Linked DNA regions of Drosophila melanogaster. The protein of the gene in region 3 interacts with the protein of the main gene of each other region in a pairwise test. Each region holds a gene or a part of one and is shown on either strand. Other genes may lie near its edges. The genes, in order: Vajk3, Rgl, Unr and Cpr57A.

The links.
Region 1: the proteins of Unr (region 3) and Vajk3 interact in a two-hybrid assay, tested with the Drosophila melanogaster proteins (one large-scale study listed by BioGRID).
Region 2: the proteins of Unr (region 3) and Rgl interact in a two-hybrid assay, tested with the Drosophila melanogaster proteins (one large-scale study listed by BioGRID).
Region 4: the proteins of Unr (region 3) and Cpr57A interact in a two-hybrid assay, tested with the Drosophila melanogaster proteins (one large-scale study listed by BioGRID).

What each region holds. Positions count from the first base shown.
Region 1 is NT_033779.5:13,944,256-13,949,139, forward strand, and holds Vajk3 (Vajk3), read right to left. Parts: upstream 3,222-4,884; 5' UTR 3,143-3,221; intron 2,873-3,142; 5' UTR 2,846-2,872; coding exon 2,834-2,845; intron 1,796-2,833; coding exon 974-1,795; 3' UTR 501-973; downstream 1-500.
Region 2 is NT_037436.4:13,916,897-13,921,520, reverse strand, and holds the start of Rgl (Ral guanine nucleotide dissociation stimulator-like), read left to right. Parts: upstream 1-1,555; 5' UTR 1,556-2,327; coding exon 2,328-2,330; intron 2,331-4,624.
Region 3 is NT_037436.4:8,438,634-8,443,274, forward strand, and holds the start of Unr (upstream of N-ras), read right to left. Parts: upstream 3,075-4,641; 5' UTR 1-3,074. UniProt on the Drosophila melanogaster protein: RNA-binding protein that acts as a regulator of dosage compensation in both males and females.
Region 4 is NT_033778.4:20,547,787-20,551,748, reverse strand, and holds Cpr57A (cuticular protein 57A), read left to right. Parts: upstream 1-1,631; 5' UTR 1,632-1,681; coding exon 1,682-1,696; intron 1,697-1,760; coding exon 1,761-2,117; intron 2,118-2,187; coding exon 2,188-2,370; 3' UTR 2,371-2,561; intron 2,562-2,623; 3' UTR 2,624-2,650; coding exon of another isoform or gene 2,651-2,722; intron 2,723-2,788; coding exon of another isoform or gene 2,789-3,127; 3' UTR 3,128-3,381; downstream 3,382-3,962. Other genes in the region: BORCS7 (BLOC-1 related complex subunit 7), read left to right, coding at 27-206; CG13430 (uncharacterized protein), read left to right, coding at 442-1,245; Obp57d (Odorant-binding protein 57d), read left to right, coding at 2,651-2,722, 2,789-3,127; Obp57e (Odorant-binding protein 57e), read left to right, coding at 3,458-3,514, 3,580-3,933.

The DNA.
Region 1 (4,884 bases), on a different chromosome or scaffold from region 3:
TCATGTCATCTCAGCTGACTGACTGGTGAGAGGATTTTCGGGTTTAAGGATCAGGAAGGCGTCAAGACATCTGTTTTTATTGTGACTGAGTATTATTGATTTATTACAACTTAAGCTGTACTTAATTACAGGTATGCATAATTCGCATCTCTTGGCTTGAAATAATTACTGGTATCCTACTTGTTACCTTGCAAGATTAAAGGGTCTTCGTATAACTTTTTATTAAAGTGATCGGAACATAAAGTTTTTGAACCATTCCGTCTATTTAATAAATATTATTAGAGAGCTGTAAATATTCCAGAAAATGATCCTCAAAAAGTCTAGTAAAAATACATTTTTTAAATATTATTTATGTTGAGTAGCCACCAAATCAAAAACGACAGCTGTTTAATAACAACATACTCTTTATTTACAAAATATATTTACAAGATATACAATTACAAAGAACCCTATGACAAACTATTTCCAGCAGCTAACCAGTGATAAAGACAGTGAAATTTATTTTATACATTTTATTTTATTTGTCCTTAATAGATTTTCACATAGATATTTCTGTTCTTATTATCCATTCAATTCATTGTGCGCCGAAACCTTTCACTGATAAACTTGGCCAGCTAAACTGTTCATAAATGGCGAAATTTACAAACAGTTAGCTGGTATTTATCCTAAACCTGGAGTTCTTGGCCCAGCACAATGGCTTCCATTGGATGGCTGGATTGGAAATAATTTACAAAAGGCATTGCTTGTTTCATCTTGGGGGTTCTTATCAGCTACAGAGAGTGTGGCAGGGCGGAAGTTTGACTTCCAGGGGGTATTTTAAGAGTTTGCTTCTGCGCTCGGTTTTGGAAAGGAAGGCCGACAGGTGGAGAGAGTGGGGAAGATAATTGAAAATGTTGCTAGATATCCTTCGGCTCATTTCCATTAAGTCCGCTCGCTCCAATAGATTCGCCTGCTTCCGGTCCATTCCGTCCGCTTACTTGTGGTAACCATGGTGGTCGGAGTAGACGGTGGCATCGTGGCCAATGGCGCTAACAGGGTAGCTGCTGACGGCAACGGTGGGTGCGTGCTTGACCACGGAGTGGGACACCACGGGCACCTTCACGTAGACGGGGTAGGGACGATCCACATGCACGGGCACCTGGACATTGACGGCCTTCTCCACGTAGACAGGGTAGGGCTTGGCCACTGGCACGGGGTAGGGCCTGGGCACCTCAACGGGCACTGGGCGATCGACGGGCACATGGACGGGCACCTTCTCGTGACGGATCACTTCGTAGGGCTGGGGCACTGGCACGGGCACCTTGACGTACTCCTTAACGGTCACGGGCACCTTGCGGATGACTTCGTAGGGCTGGGGCACGGGCACCTTAACTTCGACGGGCACGCGCTTCTCATGGACGACGGGATAGGGGCGGTCCACATGCACGGGCACTGGGATTCCCTTGGTGATGGTGATGGTCTTGTGCACATCGGCCTGCTTGCTGATCACATAGGGGGCGGGAGCGTGGTGGACAGCGACGGCGGGAGCAGTGTGTCCAACGGCGATCGCGGGACCACTGTGGCCCACGGCGACGGCAGCGGGTGCGGAGTATCCGGTCAGTCCGTAGCCATGTCCGTAGCTTCCGTGGCCGGAGATGGAACCATGTCCCAGGTAGCCGGTGTCCAGACCAGCATGACCGTAGCCGTAGCCCAGATCGAGCAGGCCGCGCTTGTCCAGCTTCTTCTCCAGCGGCACCTTCTCACCCTCGGTTTTGCTGGCGCAGGCGGAGGCCACCAGCAGAGCGGCTAAGCAGATCTGCAAAGAATTGAGTTGGTGCGATTGGTTATGAAACTATGCATTTTAGAGACTTTTAAATAATAATAATATATTAATTTTCTAGCAAAATTCTAGATATTTGTGATTTCTTAATAGTTTATTTCACAATAACTAAGTTAGTAAGTAGAACTTGATTCCTTGCAAATATAGTTTAAATCTATTTCAAAATGAAATGAAATAAAATTTAGTCATACTATCTTCGAATTCTCAACTGTGCAAACTCATCTATCATGAAATTCGTATAGTCTATTCTTTAAGTATTTGAAGCTTCTCTATGATAAAACAATTCAAGATATGCAACCTACATAAATTGCCTAACGAAAACGTTGACTTTTATCACCCATTGCCTAGTTTGATCGATTACCTAATCGCAATAGAAAGCGAAGGCGATAGGCGATATGTGGCCCGATTCGCATTGTGTCGTCCGTTGTCTCATCGCCCTCTTTCGCGATTCAAATGGTCAAGTGAAATTTGTGCGTGCCTGGCATAAATGATGCAGTGCAGTCATCGCCCACTGCCACGCCCAGTTTCCGCAATACGCCTCAACCGACTGGCGTCACGTTACGCATACGCAGTGGGCAACTCAGCGAATGCATTTGGAGCTGGCTTTAATTGAGCACATGAACCCAGTTGATTACGGCCTGGTAATAAACGTGGCTGGCACTCCAATTATGATCGTTCAGTTAATAAACGCTTATTAGCCATGTCGTTCAAGTTGAATTTGGTCGTTTGCGAGCATTTCACCTTTGATTAAGGAAATTTATCGGATTGAATTGTTTCAGGAAGTTGTTTGTTGTTGAAGATGGCCAGGTAAACAATGTGAGGCATTTGCAATGCAAAAGGCTATATTGTTCCAATTAGTTCATGTCAGCATTGTTCTGTATGCAATTCTTTGAATTATTACTTGATTTCTCACACTAAAATATGCTACCAACAGCGATAGTTCACATACTCGTACCCATTTACATATCAAACTAAATTCTATATGTCTAATTACTATATGTCTGTTGTACTTACGAATACTTTCATTGTGGAGTCTAATGGGACTTGCCAAGGCTGTAAGTAAACAAAGAAAACAATAAGATTATTTATACGAAATGCAGCATAGATATTTTTTTTTTTATAAGATCAGCACTTTAATTGGTATTAACAATCTGTTCTTTGGGAAAATGTTCCTTGGAAAATTGAAGTTATTTAGAGCACACGGCTCGCACAGTTATTAGTTTATAACTTTTAGATCACAGCTTAAACTTTATTTCCGTTTCACATAGACTACACGCATTTTAGAAACAAACAAAAATTAACTTGGCATTTGGCTTCACTTACAAGCAACTCAGTAACAGCGAAATAGACTGTGGAAGGATTGTAGAATCACTAGCGATTCCAAACCTTTGACTGGATGCTGTCTGTGGTCAGTGGCGCGCTTTTATACCCCCAAAGAGTTTTTGTGTCAAAACGAAACTGAAAACACCGCCAAACCAAGTCGCTCAGCGGTTTCCAAAAGCTTTTCCCACCACAAACCAGCCTAATTGCTCTCTTCAAAGCTCTGAGTTCGGCTTGGTTTGCGCTTGTATTGGTTATATTTGTGTGTATTAGTGCGGCACGGAAAGTTGCAAGCGGAAGCGCTCACCAATACACTGGCATGCCACCAATACTCACGCAATTGCGGCTTTTCTCTGTGTGTATTGGTGACTTTAGCCGCCAACTTGAAAGTGGCTTATAAAATATGGGTGCAAATGTGATCAAATCAATTTGGGAACATAAAAAGCAAATAAAATAAATTAACTAAATCTTGAATTGAAATTTATATTGGGAAAATCCCGCAGAACGTACTAGCAATCCTTTCTTGTTTTTTTTTTGTTTTATTTGGATAAAAAGTCTTCGGGCTTCTTAGCAAGTTGTTCCCAAAAATATAGATTTCAACGAAAGGTCATATGTCTATCAAAGTCGTTATGTTTTGTTTGTCAAGTTTCAGAAGTCAGCAGTTTTGGTCGAACCTGATTCCTAATATCAATAATTCTGAGTCTACCTAATGGAAATTCAACTAGATTTTGTTTTGATTCCATTAATTAAAAAAAAAAAAAAACTTGCTTATTAGTATCATATTTATACGTTCGGCTCGCATTTTAAACAAAGGGTCTATAAATCTGGAATTGTTCAAAGGGGTAATCTGGTTTTAATCTTGTATAATTTCAATATAAAATTTATTTCGAAACATTTTGTGGCCCAATAAACAAAAGTGTAACAAAGCAATTTCTTTCATTTGAGTTTAATAAATCTCAAATTCACTTAGCAGATCTAATATCGTAGAACTTGATTTAACGGTAACTTGATTTATAACTTAATTAATGTTTCTTATAATTTTGTATGCATTTGGCGAACCGAATGTTTTCCGGATTTTAGTATTTAATTTTTAACCGGATTCAGATCTTTTAAAAATGGCAATTAATTACATTAAACTTTGATTTTGTAATTGATATTGTAGTAAGCAACATTTATCAAAGTTCACTGTACTTGTAACCAGTTACTTGCTTTATATCAGTATACATTGTTGCAAGATAGTAATTTGAGTGTGATGTCTCAATTTCTATTGCTGTCATAATTAGGCTTTCTGGTTTTCTTGCCACCTTTGGGGTACTCGGGTTACCATTTTGCACTTCCTGCAACAACCAGGTAAAAACGGAAGCTGCCTCTCTGGAATTTCTCGGCATCTTTGATGTCATTGACAATGGTTTAGTGATCACCGGGCGGAAAAAATAGATACTATCTGCGATTGGGGGTGGTGAAAAGTGATGCAACAGATGCGGTGCATAACCGTGGGCTGCGAATCTCAAGTTTCGCACTCGAAATCGATTATCGGAACGCTGGGTGTGGGATTGTGGAGTGGAATACCAACGGGGATTGCAAATGGATCTGTGACTGGAACAGTGACTGGATCGGGTGCCATGCGTGAGATCTGCACTGTGGCGTAAAAGTGAAAGGCCTTTATGGGTCGCCGTTGCAGTAGCGGCATTAGATGCTTGTGCATTTGCACAAAATCAGATTATATATCAGCCAGGCTGAGTCCG
Region 2 (4,624 bases), 5.5 Mb from region 3:
TGAAAAATATGTTGCAACATTTTGATTAGAGTGGTGCCGAAAAATCGAATTAAAGAAATTTATAATTTATAATTTAATTTATAATTTTTGTGATATTTATTATCACGATCACAACACAAGAGCGGTTTTTTCGTATGACTAAAGTTTTGGAGCACAACATTTTTCATCTAAATATATATTATGACGTTTACGTTTTAAAATATTATTCTCCATACTTTCTGATAGGGAGAACAGCAATAATTTTAAATAAATTTACTATAGCTTTAAACCGTATTATTTTGACACCAACATCATGAAGCACATTGAGGGTCAATCTTTAATTGATCTCTTTTTCTAGCTTTATATAAAATTCGTTATCAGCATCACCAAGTGCATAACAAATATCAGTGCCTTTTTTTGTATTGAAACTTGTTGCATTCGCTAATTGATCAATTGACGTGCTCATGGTCTCGAATATTTATCCAATGTCTACAAGCAACAAACAAAACAGCAGGCATCGTTTGATTGGCGCTTACGTAAATGCACGTTTTATTAATATTTCTGCTTATTGATTTCCCCGCCAGCTTTCTTTAAATCGTTACCAAATACCAGACAACACTCAGGTATTCCCATTTCCATAATTATGTCATTCCAGTTCACATGTTTGAACGGTTGGTCAAATGATAGCCTAAAAAGCCAAACAAAACATGGAAGAAAATTATTTAAATTTCTTTGTTGGCATTAATCAAAAATTTGGAATAAAATCCTACAGGTTTAGGAGGCCCATAAATTCCATTGATAAATGTGAAGCTATAATGAAGACAAATGCTATTGTGGGGGTCAGTGTAAATATATACCAAAAAATACTAAAATTGACAGAGAGAGTTGAGAGAGAGTTCTGATTAGAAACAAACAAGCCAACAGTCAATTGCTCATCAGAAAAAACATAAACAGAGCGCGAATGGCCAGAGCAAGTAAGATTTTTATGTTTGTTCTGATACGACATATATATACCGTGTATTTATTTTAAGAAACTTATTTATTTATATTTAGCGTGTCAACAGTCACTAGGAAGAAGTTTTAAAGAAATTTGTTTAAATTGATTTAAAAGGCCAAGTTACCATAGTGCAAAAGAAATAAAATCAATTACCAATTCAATGGTAAATTGACAGTTTATCTGGAAAAAGTTCTATTTTAAGTTTATTGACTATAAATTGTGAGAATATGTAGGTGTTTTAAATTCGGAACCAATATTGGAATGCATTGTTAATGTTAACTGTGTTTTTGAACTTGTTCGATGCAACCAATATACCTTCACGCAAGGTGTAAAACCATAGTGGGTGTTTTGCTAGAAGTTCCCACGGTCGAAAACTTGAGTACCTGAGAAAAGCGAACGAGAGAGTGCAATTGAGAGAACGGGGATGCTACAGTTACATCCGTCGAGTAAGAACATCCCCCGAAAATGCTTGCGTTCTTAATGACAGAGAGTGGATCCCCGACAGAGAGAGCGTGTGGGAGAGAGTAAGCGAGAGTTGGATACAGACGATGGGGTTTCGGGCGGTCGTTTGTTCTAAGCGGGCAGAGTTCGTCTTCGACTGTTGTTGGCGGCGGTTGCGTCGCGTGTCTCTCTACCGAGAGCTTTGTGTGTGTGTCTCGCGCGCGTTTTACGCTCTGCGCCCCCTACGCTCCCCTTTTCCAAGTAGAGAAACCCCCGAATGTGAATTTTGTATAATGTTTTTGTAATAACATGGATATCTCATGTTGAGATTTTCAGCCAAGCGAATGAAAATGCAAGCGGTATCCCGAAAATTGCCGTTTACGTGTGTGCGAGTGCAGCATTAGCAAAAGGAAAAGAGATAAAAGTGAAAACAAATAAATAGTAGGGAAGACGTGCTAAAGCACGAGAGCAAAGAGGAGATTGCCAGGCAGACGCATAGACGTAGTGCAACGAACCCTTCTTCGCGGACCAAGGATTCACCACTTACCACTAACCGGAGAACAAATACCAATATTAACCCCCCCACCTCTACTGCTACTGGGTGTGTTTCTCTATGTCCCGTTGACTCATCGTTCCCAGGAAGCTGAACAACGGTATAGCGGCCAGAACACAGAAGCCCAGTACAAAAAAAGAGCAGCAGGAATATCGATTTTACTTGCCTTTTACTTATACAACACCCCCACCACCCATTGAACTGCACTTGGGTGTAAAAATAAAACACCAGAAGCCATTAAAGGAGACGTGTAAATTAAAGCGAACCGACGAGAAGAGGATAACGGATAGGAAAACCCAAGCAGTGCATCCGTGGAAATCTCAGCAACATTTCTCAAGGAACAAAAGCCAATCTCAAATGGTAAAAAAAAACAACGCAATCCATCAGGCCGGATTAGAAAGGAGCGCACTTTAGATCTATTGGTTCTTATCCTGCCCTTACAGTGGTCACTCGAACGTTGATACATTGAAATGTTTTTTTTTAACAATATATTTAAAACAAGTACATCATATTTCTGCAATAAGCAATACATCGGTAACAAACTCCTGATAAGATAAAAACATTAATGGCTTGAATTTTATTACTATTGACCCTCGCCCTTAAATCAACGACATGGATAATTATCGATAATGCGCACCTTTTTTTGTCCGAGAATTTTCAACCCTGAAAACTAGTTGCTGTGTACTTGATCTGGTTTTGTGTGGAGAGGGATTACTGTAGTGTCTTGGTGTCGATTCACAAGGAAATGTCAACAATGATTATGGGCAAAAATGCAATGGTATGGAAACTTTACGCCTAAGTGGAGTCCAGAAATAAAACACCTTCTTTTGGTGGGGAAGGAATAGGAATCGATAAAAGTCGGGAATTTTTTACAAGTTATAAATGAATCATATGGGAACTGCCAAGCTTGGAGAAGCTTTGTTTTGGGAGTTTCGAGAATTTATATGCTAATTAAAAAGCATTCAAAATTGGTATACTTATGCTTGGGAACAAATGGTGTAGGGTATTCTTAAGTGATGTATATAATTTGTTTCGCAGGTGAAAGATAACGAATTAAAGCTATGAATTTAAAGGTGAATCAGTTTGAGATCATTTCAGTTGCAGTCCCAGTTATATTTTCGTTTCTTTATCATCCATTTATGCGGAGTGCCCCTAGAAATCATTTATCAGCTCCCATTGTATGCAAAACAAAAGCTCCGCCCCCCACTTCCTTTACCCACTGGCGAATGATGGGGGAATGCATAAAAAAAATAATTTACGTGGGGAGCTATGCTCAGTGGCTCAAACTTTAGCTTAGGTTGATATGTTTTTGTATTGTTTGCACATCATCTCTGCTGCTGCCCAACGGATGTGGTTTGATAATAGCCGAAAGAGCGGGACAGCTGCTCTGCAGTAGAGACAGATACATATGTACATATACACGTTAAATAAAAGTTTTATTCGGATATGAATTATGGTTTTTGAAATTAAAAATTGCAACAGGATGTGGCATCGGTTGATATTCGTTATGTTGTAATATAGCGAAAAGGAGACATTAGGGATAGAATATCGAATGCCAAGTAATGCCTGTTCTATTATTTCTCATAAACACAAACGATGTAAAATCTTGATGGACCTGTGTTAGTAGGCCGATGCAATTAAATTTGATCATAATTCCCTTCATTTTTTTTTATGTGCACCGAGGGAGCAGCAAATGTTGTCAAGTTGACTGCGTCGGATGCAGTCGCATGTAACTGACAGTCAGTCAGAGTCATTTAGCCAGTCAGTCATTTAGTCAGTCAGTCATTCAGGGATGACAGAGGGAAGGGGGAGAGACTGGTGTTTAGTTTCAGTCGTTTTTTTCCCTTGGCGTTTTCAATTTTGTTTTGCGTTGTTTTTTTTTTGCCGCTGCTTCTGTTGCTGCAATTCACAAAACTCGTGCCAGGGGTCGTCGATTTAAAAATAGAGATTTGTGTCTACAATTGCGGTCAAAATAAATGCCTTTTCATTTTTCAAGACAAGCGAAATGTATTGCTTATTTCGGACACCTAATCTATTGCCGCCAAGAACTAGGAAATTCTCAAAGAACTGTTTTTACATCGATACAAATTGCAATACTTTTACCTATAAATCGAATATCTCAAACGGAATACTATTTTACTATCTCAGAGTCATGTTTCATCATTTAAATATTGATCCATTTCCTTAGATGTATTTTCACTTTTAATCTATCAATATTGTGACCTCAGCTGTATGGCTGTTTGTTGATAAATTCACCCCAAATGCAAATGCAGTACCATTTCGCTTTGATGTTGCGGTTCGACTCTCCTTTGTTTTGGTTTCTGGCTATTTTTGCGAAGATCTGTAATTGAGAGAAACCCCCCCTGGGCGGAAAAGCAGAAAACGCCACCCACACGCTTTTCTGGAGGAAAGGTCACCTGCTTTATATATAGACAGATGATGATGTGGGCCGACCAATCAGGCGCCCCCTCATACTTGGATGTTATTTCTTTATAATTGGGTGCCTTGTATACACAAACACGAATATGTTTGACAATTGCCCGTCGTCTGGCATTATAATACTATATTATTTCATTACTTAATGAGCTTTATTTCTGCCGCAGTTTTTTTTGCACGGGCTGGGTATTTTCTGATGAATCATTCGAACTCAAAAG
Region 3 (4,641 bases):
AATTCCTTGTCTTCGAAGTTAATAAAAATTTTTGTCTTTTCTTGAGGGCATTCCCCGCAAAAAATGTGGTTGTTTTACTTAGCTTTCCTTTGCTGTTGTTGGTTTGTTTGTTTGTTGGTTTTTTGTGTTCCTTGTTGTTTTGTGTTTTTATATTTCTTGTAAAAAATGCCGACAAATATTGTAACGTTGTTGGTTTGTTTTGGTAGTTTGAAGTTCCTTCCTGGGTCTGTTGTAGGTTGTATTTCTTTTTAAAGTTGTTGTTCTTGAAATATTTTTTTTGTTTGTTTTGTGTATTCAAAATATTGTGGTTTTACGATGAAAATGCACACCAGCTCTGCTGCCGTTGGTGTTTTTATTTTTGTTCGAGTTTTGAATTATTATTGAATTATTGCATTTTGTTTGAAATGAATTTGGTTGATTTTTTTTTATATTTTTACTTTAGTTTTACTAGAAAAATACACTGGGAATACTTTTTACTTTTGGGTTAGATTAGCTTTGTTTGATATTTGAATATTTTGTGTGTTTTGCTTGATTATATTGGTTTCTATTTAGTATACATATATATAATATATATTTTGTAGGCAATCGTTGTGGTTTATAGGAAGTAGTAGTGATTTTTTATTTACTTTCGAATACCTTTAGTACAACGATGATTTTTGGGGGACGAGGTTTAAATCTCCTTCTTCCTCTTCTCGGGACTTCCGTTTCCGGTTCCTCGCTCACTCTCTCTCTGTATCTTTCTTTCTTTCTGTGTCGATTTCCTATTTTGTTTCGCTGTACGTTGCTATTACTTTTCGGTTGCACGATTTGTATAATTTGTTTTTTCTTTTTTGTTGTTTTGTTGCTGTTTTATTGCTGTTTCATTTACTATTCACTAAGCAAAAATTATGAGTTTTAATGTTTTTTTGTTTTTGTTTTTATATATGTATATAATAGATATAGGACACCCGTTATGTAAAGTTATCCTCGCTCATTTACTATGTTGAACTTTAAGTCTACGATTTATTTTGTTTTGTTTAAATATATATATTTTTTGAATGCGTTTTGAAGTCTTTTCATAACCTAGGGTTTTTATTTTTTGCTTTGTGTTGGTTGGTTTTGTTGTTTATTCACTTATTCCATTGTTTTGTTTTTGTTTTCTCGGTTGACGCTCACTAGATTTAAGCTTAGTTTAATAGTTTATATAATATAATATATAATATACTATAGTATATATGTATCGAAGTCCTTTAAGATATCACGAATTTGTTTCAATGTTTTTTATCTTTTCATTTGCATTTGCTCTTAAGTGTAAAGTTGTTGTTGGTTTAAGATGTTTTTCTGCTTTCTGCTTCCTCTTTCGCTCCTTCTTCTTCTTCGCCTACTGTTAAAAATGACGGGGTTTTCCTTTCATTTAATTAGAGATTTTTTTGTGGTTTTTCTTTAGGTTTTTGTTTTTTTTTTTTCTTTAAATTTATAAATTTACAGTAATTATCACAGAGTTGTTAAATCTTTCTTTGAATTTGTTTTGTTTTTCTTTTCTCCGTTTTACTTCCGTTTGTTGCAGTTGCTTTTGCTGTTTTAGACTTTTAACATTTCTCACTAGGTACACTTATAAAAAAATCTGAATTGAAAACTAGTAAAAAACAATGTTTTATTGGAAAAAATAAAAACTGTTTTTTTGGCACAAGGCCGCAGTTTTGAATTTGTTATGCGTTCTCTATATATATTGGCTTAATCCGTTTATTTTTTTTTCACTAATTTATTGTTTTAATTAAATTTATTGGCTAAGTTCAATTGCTGGTGTTGTTGTTGTAGGTCTGTGTAAAACGTGACTTAAAACTTATAGAATTCTTGTAGATTTTTGGTTTTAAATGTTTTCTTTATTGTTACCGTTATTTTTTTAGTATATATTTTTTATTCACACTTTTTTTGCGGCACAATTGTTGCTTGATCGGTTTTATTCAGCTCTCCTCGCTTCTCCTCCATTTATCGCTCTGTCTCCCACTTCCCTTTCGCCCTTGTGGGCGTTTATCAGTTGTTTTTGGACTTAAATTCTAGCAGTGTTTGTTTTTATGTTTAGTTAAATAATTTAGATTGATGTTGCGTTTTAAATTAAATCGTTTTTAATATGTTTAAATTATTTGTTGTTGATTTACTCCCGGTTATTTTGTACTTTAAAACATTAATTCAGTTGTTTGTTGGTTGTTGTTTGTTTGTTGTTGTTGCTGCTTTTGTAGCTCGGTTGTTGATGTCTTAATTTAAATTAATTAGCAAATTGAATTCACTCTGACTTAACAACAAAAAATTCGTAATTAAATTAAAGCTTTTCAGGAAAAATAATGAGGAATTTGGGATTTATTTAGCGTTTTTCCAAGTGTAGGTTTTGCGGTTTTGCTTGAATTGTTTTTGTTTTATTCGAGAGTCCGAACGCCGCAGCGCCGTTGCCTTTGACTTCACGTTAGTTTCGTTTCCCGTTGCTTTTTTGTTTTCAGTGCTTTTGCCGTTTTCTTGTTAAACTCCGCTTTACTTGCTCCTTCGTGGTTTGCCTTTTATTTTGTTTTAGCTTTTCTTTTTGTTTATTTATTTGTTGGTGCTTTTGAGTATTGACGAGTTAATTTCACAGCGTTTCAATTTGTTTGGTTTGTTGTTGGTTTTGTTGTTGTTTTATTTGAAAGTCTTCGTTTCAAGCTTGGCTTGTTTTTTATGTTGTTTGTTGTTTTGTTTTCTTTTTTTATTTGCGCAGTCGCTTTATCTCCCTCTCTGTCTGTCTCGCTCACACCGACGGGCGGCGTAAAAATTCTCGTTTTTTCTGTTTTGTGTGTTTTTCTTTGCAAAGCAAACGAAACAAAAACAAAGAAGAGTCCAAAAAACTTAAAAAGTTTTTGCTTTGACTTTTTCCTTTTGAGCTATGTTGTTGTTGTTTTTTATTTCTGCTGTAACTTTCAATTATTTGCGATTTATATTTGTATGTATTATTTTTTGATTCGTTTTCGATGGTGATTTTTTTATTTTTTTATCATATTTGTTGTTGTTTTTTTATATTATTATTATTTTTTCAGATTATGATGAAAGTGATGTCAAAACGGAGTTTTAGTTACAAAAGCTGTTGAATGAGAAAAAGAGAAAGGTGGAAACGATTAAGAAAAATTAATACATCTTTTTTATTATTTCTTTTATTTTTGGCTAGTGAAATCTACACCGAAAGTCTTGCTGCAGTTTTATCGATTTTTCAGTGTTGCAAATGGAGAGATTTTTGCCTGCCGGAAAAAATTGCACACACACTGGCGCAACCTACTACGCACACACACATGCACGCCCATACACACGCACACGCAATTGCAATCGTAAACTATTTTTACACATTATTGTTGTGGTTTTTAGCGTAAAATTAGCAACCCCGCAGACTGCACACACACATGCACAGTCACCGAAGTGCCAAGTTGGTAGCAAAAAAACGAATTTTCATCAACTTTTTTTTCGGGCTGCAAATTTGGTACCCTCAAACGCACACACACACACACAGAAGCGTAGAAAATCTGGCTGGGCAACGAAAAAACGTTAATTCGCCATTTAAAAACTAATTTCCCTAACACATTTCATATTTTTCCATCACAGCTTTGTTCGCGGCACATTTTCTGCATATTTTCGTTCCGAATTTGAGTTAAATAATAGTCCTATTTGAAGCGAACGAGAATTTTCTGGACCAGCCACACGTACCACACGACAGCACAACAACTGCTAGCGGGCGCCATATTTGCCGACAGCACGATGGCAGTGTTGGAAGGTGTGCGAAGAGAGGGACAATTGTGACGTCAGTGGTCATGGGAGTAGGAGCAGGGATCTCTTAGCTTTTCTATTCCTATATTTAAATAATCAAAACTTATCTAAGATAACGATTTAACTTTAATTCAGTTAAAGGGACTATCTTTAATGCAATGTCTAAAAGTAGTAGAAGTGCAGGGTTATACATCTATGTCATTTTCTATGCTATCACTGCAAATTATAAAATATGAATTGTATGTGACTTTTATGTAATATTCTTAGTTTTAATAATAAACAAAAGCAATTTATGTAATTAAATGGATTATTACTAAGAAAATTACATCTAAATATTTAATTTTAAACTGTACGTATTCGAGACAAGAACCATCGCTAGCTATTTCTAACTTAAGCCAACCCCAAAATCTTTTCGCCTTTTATTAAGCGGCAATATATTGATTTAAAAAATGAAACTAGTTTTATTTGTTCTGATAAATAAATATGGAAGATATGTTATTATCTTTGTAAAATTGGAATTCCCCCAAAAATGCAGAAGTGTATTCACTTAGTTTAATTCTTAATTTTCGGAAGTTCTGTCACATAAAACATAAAACACAAAAAATCCCTTTTTTAGATTCCTTTTAGCAGCCCACAGAAAATCACATTAGTTTTACGTCTTCCTGGGTCTTTTAACGAATTTTATTTCAGCAGCTCCTTGGTTGCTTAATCCATAATTAACTTAAATGGTATTTTGCATGATAATGGGATCCAATACATATGTATGCTGATAAATTGATTATCCTTGAACAGATTTTTAAAGATTACAATTTACAAAATCTAGTTAATTGGTTACGGTGCCTTTTATACATTCGACAGTGCAAAATGTTATCAACATGAATA
Region 4 (3,962 bases), on a different chromosome or scaffold from region 3:
TACTACTTTAGCAGTTTCGCCCACAGATTATGCACCAAACCCTGAAGAACTTCACCCAAGTGGACGTGGTCTCGGATTACAGCCACCAGAATCTGCAGAAGATGACGCTGATTCTGCAGCACGTGGGCTACCAGTACGATGTGATGCAGGACAGTGTCAACCACTTGGATTACCTCAAGGAGCAGGTGACGGCCATGGAAAGATGATTGGAAGAGCAAAAGCCTAGACACTAGCAGCACCCTTGACCTCCGCCATCTGTTTAATTTGTCCCAAGCCATCTATCCATAAATATCTATAAATCCCGAAAGATAGTCCGAGAAGGTCAGGGGCCACCAAAAGAGTTGGGTCCGCCGATAAGATAAGCCGTGTGTCTTGGAGTTCCCTTATAAAAGACCTGAACCACAGTGATTTCCATCACAGTCACGGGCAATCAAAGAGAAAATGACGAGCTTGGATTTCAGACTGGCAGTAGCTCTCTGGCTAATCTGTACGTCGGCTGCCCAGAACTCCACGGATGTCGAACAGGATGGCCGCATTGTCGGCGGCTGGGAGACGCACATCACCTTCTTTCCGCACCAAGTATCCCTGCAGTTGGGCACCCGGCATGCATGCGGTGGAACCATCATTTCGCCCAACATCATCTTGACTGCTGCTCACTGTGTGCTGGAGTACAGTAAACCGCAATATTACGTGATTCGAGCCGGATCTAGCGATTGGACGAAGGGCGGCAGCTATATTCGCGTCAAAAAGATCATTCCGCATCCTGAGTTCCATGACCCCACGAGGATGAACAATGACATTGCCATTGTTCAGCTGCAGCAACCCCTTGTCTATAGTCAGGATATACGACCCATAAGCTTGGCCACCAGTAAGGACATCATTATGCCGACCGCACAGCTTTTTGTAAGCGGCTGGGGCAGCACGTCGATCTCACAAATGCAGCCGGAAAAGCGTCTTCGCTACACCGTTGTCCATCTGAGAGATCAGAACCAGTGTGCCAGAAACTATTTCGGAGCTGGCACCGTGACCAACACCATGTTCTGCGCGGGAACTCAGGCGGGAGGAAGAGATAGCTGCCAGGGAGATTCGGGCGGTCCACTTGTCACATCTATAGATGGCCGTCTAAAGCTCTACGGCATTGTGTCCTGGGGATTTGGATGCGCAAACGCCATGTTTCCTGGAATTTACACAAAAGTTTCGGCCTATGACGACTGGATAGCGCAGACAATTGAGGAGCTGGTCTAGCCTAATTTTAAACTGTATTACAACATAGAAATAATGGTCAAAACCACTGCTAAGTTTAAGTTATAACGTAATCCCATATATACTAATACGAAATCTAATACTTAAGACTTTTCACCTCTGTAAATGAACCGTATTAAACGCTAATAACTTGCTAATTTCAAGTTCAGATGACTAACCAAAGGCATAGAATGTTATATATCGAAAAACAATTTGTTAATTCAACTTTAATGTCAAATTACCTTGTTTATGAATGCAAAATGTAAAAACAAGTTTCGGATTCGTGGATTAGCCGATCGTAGTGGCATATAAAATGCGCATCTCGGCACCTCGAATACCAGTTTTTGGCTCTTACGAACTGCGAATACCGAAGTGTTGTCCAAGTCACCGCCAGTTACCAATCGCAACTTGAGTAGAGAGGCAACACAATCCAGCAACCATGTTTATAGTTTTGGTAAGTGAGCGACTATATCAGATGTTACTCAACTACATATAACTCTTCCTGTCTGCATGTCAAGGTCGTTTGTTTGCTGGCAGTCGCTGCGGCCGATGTGTCCCATCTGGTCACCCCGGAACCGAAGGTTCCAGCAAGTCCGTATGTGTTCAGCTACCAAGCTGGCCGTGCTCCCGGCCATGTGGATCGCCAGCATACCGAGGTGTCCGATGGATCGGGTGTGATCCGCGGTGCTTTCTCCTATGTGGACCCAAAGAACCAGGTGCGCACCGTACAGTATGTGGCGGATGAGCATGGTTTCCATCCTCAGCTTAGCCACAAACTGGAGGACAGCGCCGCCGTCCAGGCAGCCAAGCAAAGGCACTTCGCGGCCTACAATCGGATTGCGCAAGAGCATGCCAACCACACGCCAGGCCAAGTTGTGAGTGTGCCGTGCACAGGTGTGGCTCCAAATTGTTTGTAATGATGCATTGTCTTCCACAACTTTGTAGGCACTAGCAAATGCCCCCCATGCCAGCGCCGCCGTTGCACATGCCACCCAGAAGCACCTGAGCGCCTTCGAGCGGATCGCTGCCGAGCACGCGGCCATTGGACGCCAACAGGAGGCACAGCGTCTGGCGCTGGCCGCTCAATCTGAGCATGGAGAGATCGAAGATGGACAGTACCATCCGTAGGTGATGGAGTTCGCTGAATGATGTGAAAATAAACGGGTAGCTTCCAGAAATATCAACAATTTCCGTTTATTTTGTGATCAGTTAAAGTGAGTGGGGGAAATAGTTTAGTTAATTATTTTGTATTATACAGTTTGTTATAATCAGATAGCATTCTATACTTTTAATGAATTTATTTCTTTTGTGTTAAAATGGTAAGTGATTTATTTCATCATGACAGTAAAATGCGATTCAATTTATGCGATTTGGTATTTAGTTTCCTATGATATCTTCAACTAGTTTGATGCCTGAAAAAATGTCTCTAAGACTTGTACCGCATCTGGCTTGTATTATTTTTATTTTGGAAATTCAATTTGTAAGTTCAACACTTTATTCTTGATGCAGTTGTTCGGAAAAACTTAACATAAGACTCCTCTTCTAGAGAATTGCCGATTCTAACGATCCGTGCCCCCATAATCAAGGAATAGACGAAGATATAGCCGAATCAATTCTAGGTGACTGGCCTGCAAATGTGGATTTGACTAGCGTGAAAAGGTCCCACAAGTGTTATGTGACCTGTATTTTGCAATATTACAATATTGTGACCGCTTCTGGTGAGATATTTCTGGACAAGTACTACGATACTGGAGTCATTGATGAATTGGCGGTGGCACCCAAAATCAATCGATGCCGATATGAGTTTAGAATGGAAACAGATTATTGTAGCCGAATTTTTGCTATATTCAATTGTTTAAGGCAAGAAATATTAACAAAGTCATAAAAGCCGTTGTAAAGAATAAGATTGTTTTTTTTTATTTTGGATGCATATTAATAACTAATATTAGGGTACGATATTCTAGTATCGGGTATATAACAAAGAAAAGAATCCATAAAATAACTATACATGCGATTGCCACCCGCATCTCCACGTATATTCAATTGTTTATATTATTAATTAATAAGTCAGTTATCAAATTAAAAAGAGGTAATTTAAATCGTTGAATGTGTGTGCAATTAAAAATGTGATTATCCATTATATTGAAATTTAATTGCTCGTATTGGGTTTGTTATAAGTACATGATACGATGGATTCCCTAGGAATATAGCAAGTATGTTGGACCAACTTACACTGTGTTTGTTGCTAAATTTTCTGTGCGCAAATGTTCTCGTAAGCTTTATTTATATATTTATAAAGTTCTCATATAACATGCATGTATCTATCTCGTTGTAAAGGCTAACACTTCAGTATTTAATCCGTGTGTTTCGCAAAATGAGTTATCCGAATATGAAGCCCACCAAGTGATGGAGAATTGGCCAGTTCCGCCCATCGATCGGGCTTACAAATGCTTTCTAACATGCGTCCTCTTGGATTTGGGTCTGATTGATGAACGGGGTAATGTGCAGATCGATAAGTACATGAAATCCGGAGTGGTGGACTGGCAATGGGTGGCAATAGAGTTGGTAACATGTCGCATAGAATTCAGCGACGAAAGGGATCTGTGCGAGCTATCATATGGAATCTTCAACTGCTTCAAGGATGTGAAGCTTGCGGCCGAGAAGTATGTTTCAATTAGTAATGCAAAGTAGATTCAATAAAATGAAAAGTATTTCATTGT